Mus musculus: one gene and its partner. The protein of the gene in region 1 purifies or fractionates together with the protein of each later gene. This does not show direct contact. Links are inferred from orthologs where the notes say so. Each region holds a gene or a part of one and is shown on either strand. Other genes may lie near its edges.

Region 1 (3,646 bases):
TCCTGAATGCTATGCATGGTGTGGATTCAGGGACAGCTAGTTCTTAGAGACACAGATAAAAACACAGATGAAAATTGTGTTTTTCCTTCTGTTTATTTACTTTTCTCTATGACCTAGACGATATTTCCTTTTCCCATGAGCAAAGAAAAAGTGCAAGACTATGAACGCCCCATCAAGAAGGAAAAACAGTATAGCTGACAAAACGAATGGGAAAAAAAAAAAAAACAAAATAGCAACAACAATAACAAAACAATTCAAATCAAAACTCATAAGGAGCATGGTTCAATACGAGGTAGAAAAATTCTGGTTGTGATCTTACACTGTCCTAACACAAAATGGAAGAATAAACCTATTCCATGTACACCTCACCTAGTCCTGTGCTCTGTGTTGGCCTCTGGGTCTGGCTCGTGCCCGGAAAGATGTGGAGGATGGGGGTGGGAAGAGTGGCAGATGCTGAGGAGGCACGGGGACAGGCAAGATCACAGCGTGGCAGTGGCAGTGGCAGTGGTGTGGGGCAGCATCTCCCTCTGAACATTCTCATGACACACAGGCTCTTGCTGACAGGCAGCCGTGCTTCCCTGGCTCCGGCTAAGCCCTGCACAGTGCCTTTTTGCTAAGCCCTCAGTGACAATGACAAGGCTGCTCTGTAGGCAGGTGCGTTTAGTAGCAAGGACACAGGGGATGCTGGCAGGCAGCTTCCTCCCCTTTCCAGCTTAGAATAATAATAATAATAATAATAATAATAATAATAATAATAATAATAATAATAATAGCATTTCTTCCATAAATGAAGAGCCTTTACTCTATGAGCAGTGATTTATTGTTCTTCTCCAAAACACCCCGTTAGGGAAAGTGACTTGGGGGTTTTTAGAACATGAGTGTGGATGTTTATACAAATTCGTTACAAGTGGAGAGATCAATTAACCTTGGCAACTGGTTAGATGCACTAGTCGTCTCTCTCAGTGCCATCGTTATAACAGAGGGTTATGACTCAGTGTGCGGTGTTGGCTTTACTTCCAGGTAGTGCTGCCCATCCAGCTCCAGATGGTATCTCTGACGCCTGCTTCTAAAAGTACAGCCTCTGGGAGGCTGAATCAGCCTGGGATCTCAAGGCCCGAAGGATTTATATAATTCTATAATGCACTTCACCATCACTACGAATGTAAAGGGCCCGTGGGGCAGGTAAAAATAAAAAAAAAATTAAAACTACGAAAATTGATCCTCCGTATGGCATTTCATAAGTCTTTGCTTTCAATCTTAGAGCCCAGGTATGGTGGTTTGTGCTATAAACCAAGGAGATGAAGTAGGAAGCTCGGGTTTAAAGTCCCTCTCCATACACACAGAGTTGGAGGTCAGCTTGGACTTCATGAGATGCTGCCCAAATAAGCAGAGTCAAGGAGGTCTGCATGCTGACCTCACGCAGCCATTAAGGGGGTGACATCAGACAGCCATGGTCAGGTGGTACCCACTTCTCCTTGGTAGGCATCTAGTGAAGGGCAGAGCTGGTTCCTTTTGGATTCTCAGACCCATTTTAACCAGAGTTTTTAAGCTTTCAAATTTCTGAGTATCTCACATATGATCACCATTATAAGCAACAGATTACTTACATACTTTAAAATTCTAAAATATAAGACAGAATTTAGTCAATCATGACCCATAATGTAAACTAGGCCTTTATTGAATTTGTAGCCTTTTCCTAATAATTTCTTAAATGTTTATAAGACAAAACAATGAACTGTGATACTATGTGACCTGCAATACTAATCAGGAAACTATCAGGTATGTGTATGAACAAATTTGTTTCTTATTCCTATAGAAAATGTATATAAATAATTTTTCTTTGTAGCTTCAAATTTAGAAGTTAAATTTAGAGACTAGCCAGAACCTTATGTTTTTATCTAAGCTGCTATTTCAAAAGCAATTTGTCTTCCTCAGAGCTTTTGGTATCTGAGATAAGAAAAAAATTAAAGCTCCAAGCTATTGTCAAACAGATCGTTCCAAATGTCTCTACTCCAGGGCAGATAAGAATGAACAAGCCTGAAGCACCTATTAACTACTATTGCTTTGACTTTGCATGATGCTATCTTTGGACTCCTCCAGTGAAAAGTTCAACCCCTGGGAGTTGCCCTGGTTTTGGTGTTTACTGTTCATTACAACTGAACTCTAGACAAAAAGCAGAGCTTTGCTCCTTACCAGTGCCTTGTCTGCAGGAGTGGTGAGCCGGCTGTAGTAATGAATCCGCTTGTTCATAGCAGCAGCATGGTCACTAACCCTCTGAATGACATCATTCACATTGACAATGTTGGTAGGCTCTATATAGAAAGGCCTAAAGAAGGGAATATATACTTGACAAAAAACATTCAGGCAAGAATTCTGGAAGTCAGCCATTGTAGAGAATAATCTCCTGTCCTCCATGTGAAGCGGGCGGGCGCACCAAGGAAAGGCATGCGCTTCTCACTTTTGGTGGGAAAAGAAAACGTCACAGGAGAAGCATTATCCTACCCATAAAATACAGTTCTTGTCTCATGATACTTACTTTTACTTTAAACACTCTTGAAGCTTAAGGAAATTTACCAACAGAGGAGAGACAGCAGAAAACACTAGAGAAGTCATTAAAGAGAAATTTGCAAAGGAAAACAAAATGTATCAGCTGTGGGTCTCCAACGATTTAAGTGAGAGAGAAACTGCTTTGATTAGTTTTTTAAAATACTCTGGCACTGAATCAGAGAAATTATAGACCGAATGTCCTTTTACTGAAGAGGGCACTCCACTCCTTCCTCTATAGGCCAAAGTCATTTCCTTTGACAAACATCATGTCCTAAGGACCAGTGACCTCAACCTCTCTCTTTGTGTGGGGATCCAAACTGGGTCAAATGGAACATGGCAGCACCGGAGAGCTTTGCCTCATGGACTTTCCTTGGATCCTGGTAACGTACTCTAATGTCCTAATATTTATGTTCGTGTCCTTCCTCACTATGTCCTGATGAACTGCAGACTCTAGCTTTCAACCATCATCTCCAGTCAGCCCTTCAGCGCCATCTGAACCTCCCTCAGGTGTTTTCTAACTTTCCCAGAACGAGCACTCCAAAATGGAGAGACAAGGGAGAATCGCATGGCTCCGCCAAGTCTCAGCCTCTTAGAAGCAGGAAACAGCGCTGTGCCCCAAACTGTGGCTGTTACTCTTACACATTGGTAAAAACAATGGGAAAACAAAAGAAAACAAACCCCCAAGAAAGTTTCATTTCTGCTACTTTTCTAACAAACTCTGATACCTAAGAAACGGTAGTTGAGTTTAGCCTTCTAACTGACATACAGAACATTTGAGTCACTTGCTATTTATTCTCCATGACAACATTCAAATATAGTAGGTATCAACTAGTCAATTTCATGAATAGTAACAAGAGCATTTATAAAAGTAAAGCCATGGGCAGAGAGATCAACATAGCATATCAAACATACTGGCAAATGCATTAAGTGCTATTAATAAATTATAAGGGGGATATAGTAAAAATGAGTGGGCCAGAGGCTAAACAATCACTACATATATATTTGGCAGCCTAATATAACCACCAATCTCTCAAAAGTGTTACGATATGATGTATTATTTCTACTTCTACCATGATAGTGATTCTTAAAGGTGATGAAC
Region 2 (4,223 bases), on another chromosome or scaffold:
AACTTACTGTCCTGAAAAGGTATTTATAATAAATTCTGTGAAGAATCCCTGCTACATAATTCAGAATTGTATATATAGTATGTATATTGATTTTGCTTTTAAAAAACATTTCTCTACAGAGTGAGTTCCAGGACAGCCAGGGCTACACAGAGAAACCCTGTCTCGAAAAACAAAAAAAAAAAAAAAACAAAAAACAAAAAACAAAAAAAATTCAAATAATACATTTGCAAAGATAGCCATATGGAAAAGATAGTCTCCAAAATATCCTTATCAAACTATCATCTCTTCACAGTAGGACTATGAGTGGTTAGTTTATTCTAAAGTTTTTAAACCCAGGCATGTTGGTGTAATCCCAGCACTTGGGAAGTAAAAGCAGAGAGATCAATACTTCAAGGCCAGCCTCGGACACACTGCAAATTTGAGGGCAATGAGGGGTATATGAGATACTGTCTCTAAAACAGAAAAGGGAATAAAAATTTTAAAGCTCAGTTATTTTAAAGTAATAATACACGGTCTTCACTAACACCTAAAACTTAAACCTAATTTCTTCCCCCTAAAACTTCCCATGACCTAGCTATTAGAAGTATCAATGCAAATTAAATATGGCACATGGCAGTAAATCACAGGACAAAGGTGGGAGAATTCGAGGCCAACCTACGAGAACAAAGAAGGTACCAATGTTAAGATTCTGACACTTTCCCAGCACGCAGTTTGGGGTTTCAACGTGTGCCATCTCTTCCTTTAGTCCCGTGTGTGCACCCCTCCCCATCGGCCCTGTGTGATAGGTTACTTCTCCTCCGATGTTGGTGAAATGAATCAATTTAAACCAGAGTAGATGATGTTAAAGGCAGGTTTATTGGGAAGCTGCCAGCCGGTGGGTGAGTTCACTGGCCCCAAGGACCAAGGCCAGCGAAGTTTCCTGGGAAAGGAAGGAAGAAAGAGAGAAGGGGGAATGTGTGCAGAGAGAGAAAAGGAGAAGGAGACCAAAATGTCTGGATTCTATAGAAAGGAGCCCTATAGAAAGGGAAGGGCAGCCCAGCCCCTGGGCTGGAAAGTTCAGGGTTGGGGGCAAGGTATGCCAGGTGGGAACTGAGGGATGCAGAACCTGGAGGCCAGTTCTGCTTTGATAGGTAAAGTATACACCTCAGCCTCTTGACCTAGGGTCAGAAACTGAGCACTGTCTTCTTAGCGATTGGCCTATTGCATAGATGAGACCATGCCAGACCTGCTGGTTACTTTAAAATTTAAACCAGGTCTACGTCTGGTTAGGACTGGAAATTGCTTGAACCAAATCCAAAGGTTAAAAATCACTAAGTCCAAGTGCTAGGTCAGGAAAAGGCCCTGAGGCCCGACTACAGATTGCTTTGAAGGCCCAGCACCCCCAATCGAAAGCCAGCCATCACTGGTCCTGTGGTAGTAGCTATGCCTTTTCGTAAAGAGCGCGGACGCGGCGCCGCGCTGAATTTCGTCCCTCTGGAGACGCCGTCCAGGCGCCCGCCTCGGTCAAGTCACGTGATCGAGGTTTGCGGTGAAGGAGGAAGTGTTTTGCTGCGGGGTCCTGGCCTGGGGCGGACAGCCTGCGGGATGGAGGCGACTTTGGAGCAGCATTTGGAGGACACGTGAGTAGTGCGTGCGGCCGGTCCTGGGCTCCGGACAGGGGAGCTGGAATGGGACAGCGGCATGGACCGCGAGTGTCTGCGGAAGCGTTTGGGGCACTCGGGGCGGCGAGCGGGTGACTTCTGCCTACGGCCGGGCCGCTCGTTACTGGGTAGTAAAGTTTCGTTAGGCGTGTTCGCAGAATCGAGTAGCTCTTGAGAAGTTTGGGAAACGGATTAAGTTTGGGGAAGGATGCCCCGGGTGTGCTAAATCGAGCCCCCGCAGTGCCAAAGCACTTTCACGCACATCTTCCCGCGTTTGTGGCCCGTCAGTTGCTCAGCGCTTGTGAAGTAAATATATCCGTAAAGTTTTTCAGCTATCTCTGTAAAATTTAAAATTGGGAGGTGTAAAGTGGCTTACAAGAAGACACCTCCTCCTTGAGCTTCTTAATCCCCTCCAGGAGCAATTCCCGTTACTGAGATTTAACAGTTGTCTTCAGGAGTTGCAGTCCTAGAGCATGCTTCTATACCAAGGACAGAGCCCTAAAGATAACTGCCTTGTTTGTGTCTTTGTGAAGCAGAGGTGCCTGAGAAAATGGTTTGGGTTTTGTTTTGTTTATTTAAACAACTCACAGTTTGTCCTCTGAAAGGGGGCGAAAAAATTTAAGGGCTGATTTGAAGTGCTTAATACTCGGTGCATAGAAAATCTGTTTTACTACAGTAATTTGAAATATTTTCTTCACATCATCTGGTTCATCTTTCTTGTGCTCCCAAAATTAGAATGAAGAATCCATCCATTGTTGGAGTCCTATGCACAGATTCACAAGGACTTAATCTGGGCTGTAAGTGTCTCCTACCAGCCTCCCTTTGAAGTTCTGAGAGCCTTAACTTACACTGCTACTATTTTCTAGCTTTTATTCCTGTTACCTTTAGGGCATAGAGACTATCTCCAAGTAAGAGTAGATGGTTGAAGCCTTTCAGTTGCATTTTAAAGGCAGAAATGTTCCTCCCAGTTCTACAACTGTTCCTACTAAAATGGTTTTGAATAAATTTTAAGTGGTCTAGAAAAGGGCTTTAGATAAGGACATCTTTACTGAATGCATTCCCTGTGCAGGCACAGTCAGGCTACACTATTTCCTTAATTGCCTCAATAACCCTGAAAATGGATGATGCTGGCTGCTAGTCCAGCCACTCTCAACAGTAAGTTATTGTCAGTAAAAATAGGGATTTCCTAGTTAGACACGTCTGACTTCAACCCCATTCTCCGATGCTGTCTGCTAGCAACATGAGTGCCGAACAGAAGGAGCCTCTTGGGGCTTCAGTTTCTTCATTGGGTTATTTTATTTCATACATACATTATGTGTGTGTTGTCTTAAGACATTTTTTTTTAAAAACTTATTCTACGTGGCCCTGGCTGTCCTGGAACAAACTTTGTAGACCATGCTGGCCTGTAACTCACAGAGATCTGCCTGCCTCTATCCCTTGAATGCTGGGAACAAAGGTGTGCATCACCATGCCCAGCCAGGCACTATTCTTAGTGTTTTCATTATAAAACGTACATAACCCCCCTTCCTGCCCCCCCCCCCCCACCAAAGCCCTTTATGGTCAAGAAATTTAGCAAGCTTAAAAGTACCTTGCCCAGGGTCAAACACCTAATGAATGGTTGAGATAGGATGTTTTTAAAGCTGGCTCCAAAGCTTAAAACACCCAGTACAGAACCAAGATGTGTTTGTGTGGTGTTCAATAAATTGTAGCAATTACAGATAAGGAACTAAGTCCAGAAAGGTAAATAGCTAAAGTTAATTAATGTCAGAAACTAGTAAACCCAAGAATCCTTATAACTGATGCAGGTTTTTTAGAGCTCTGATCTTTTGCTGGTATGATACCTGACAAAAGTAATATAGTTATGTCTTATACAAAAAGCAGCCATTTGGAACAAAGGTAAATTTTTTTGAAGCATTTGCCAAGTTACTAATGAAAACTCTTTAAATGCAAATGTGGAGGAAAAAAAAAAACTAAGTAAAACCTTCAAGGTGCGAAGTTGCTATTTCCAATAGATTTCCGGGCTGCACTTTGGCCTACGGATTTTTTATGTAGTAATAGTCAATCCAGAATTTCTGCCAGGTTATATTGTCTACTACCTTAGTTTTAGGTGTAAGTAAACCCCTTTATTTCAGGGATCTATAATAAGCTTGGTGGTTACCTTTTGTGCCTAGAGCCTGATTTAGTTAATACAAGTCAAAGTAATAGTAAAGACTCGGGGGACATTTGAAAGGAGCCCAGCTAGCTTCTGCTAGCAGAAATAGTTGCTCACAGGTCTTCACATATGCTGGCAAGGTGATCTTACAACTGGACTTCTGAGTAATGGCTGCTTCTTTGAGATTGAGCATAGGAAGAGAAACTCAGATTTCCCATAAGGAATTAATTAGCATCAACAAGCCCCTTATCCATACTGAATGCTTTTTGTCACTCTCGCCTTTGAATTTCTTGGTTTCAGCAAGGTTCCTATAAAATAGTTACTACCATCAGATGACTTGAATTACAGCTTCCTTATATGCTTGAGAAGGTGTTTAGAGATAGTGAGGGGAATAACTCTGAAAACTACATGTCGTTTACGACTTTGCTGAT

What was found. Proteins that work in one complex are often made in the same cells at the same time.
Region 2: the proteins of Slc38a9 (region 1) and Lamtor5 purify together in Homo sapiens (co-immunoprecipitation; 5 studies listed by BioGRID and IntAct, with this or other methods). This does not show direct contact. The link is inferred for Mus musculus from reciprocal best matches to the Homo sapiens genes SLC38A9 and LAMTOR5.

Annotation. Positions count from the first base shown.
Region 1 is NC_000079.6:112,684,746-112,688,391, reverse strand, and holds part of Slc38a9 (sodium-coupled neutral amino acid transporter 9), read right to left. Parts: exon of another isoform or gene 2,416-3,646; coding exon of another isoform or gene 2,327-2,415; coding exon 2,194-2,326; intron 1-2,193.
Region 2 is NC_000069.6:107,277,495-107,281,717, forward strand, and holds the start of Lamtor5 (ragulator complex protein LAMTOR5), read left to right. Parts: upstream 1-1,363; 5' UTR 1,364-1,422; coding exon 1,423-1,619; intron 1,620-2,375; coding exon 2,376-2,437; intron 2,438-4,223. UniProt on the Homo sapiens protein: As part of the Ragulator complex it is involved in amino acid sensing and activation of mTORC1, a signaling complex promoting cell growth in response to growth factors, energy levels, and amino acids.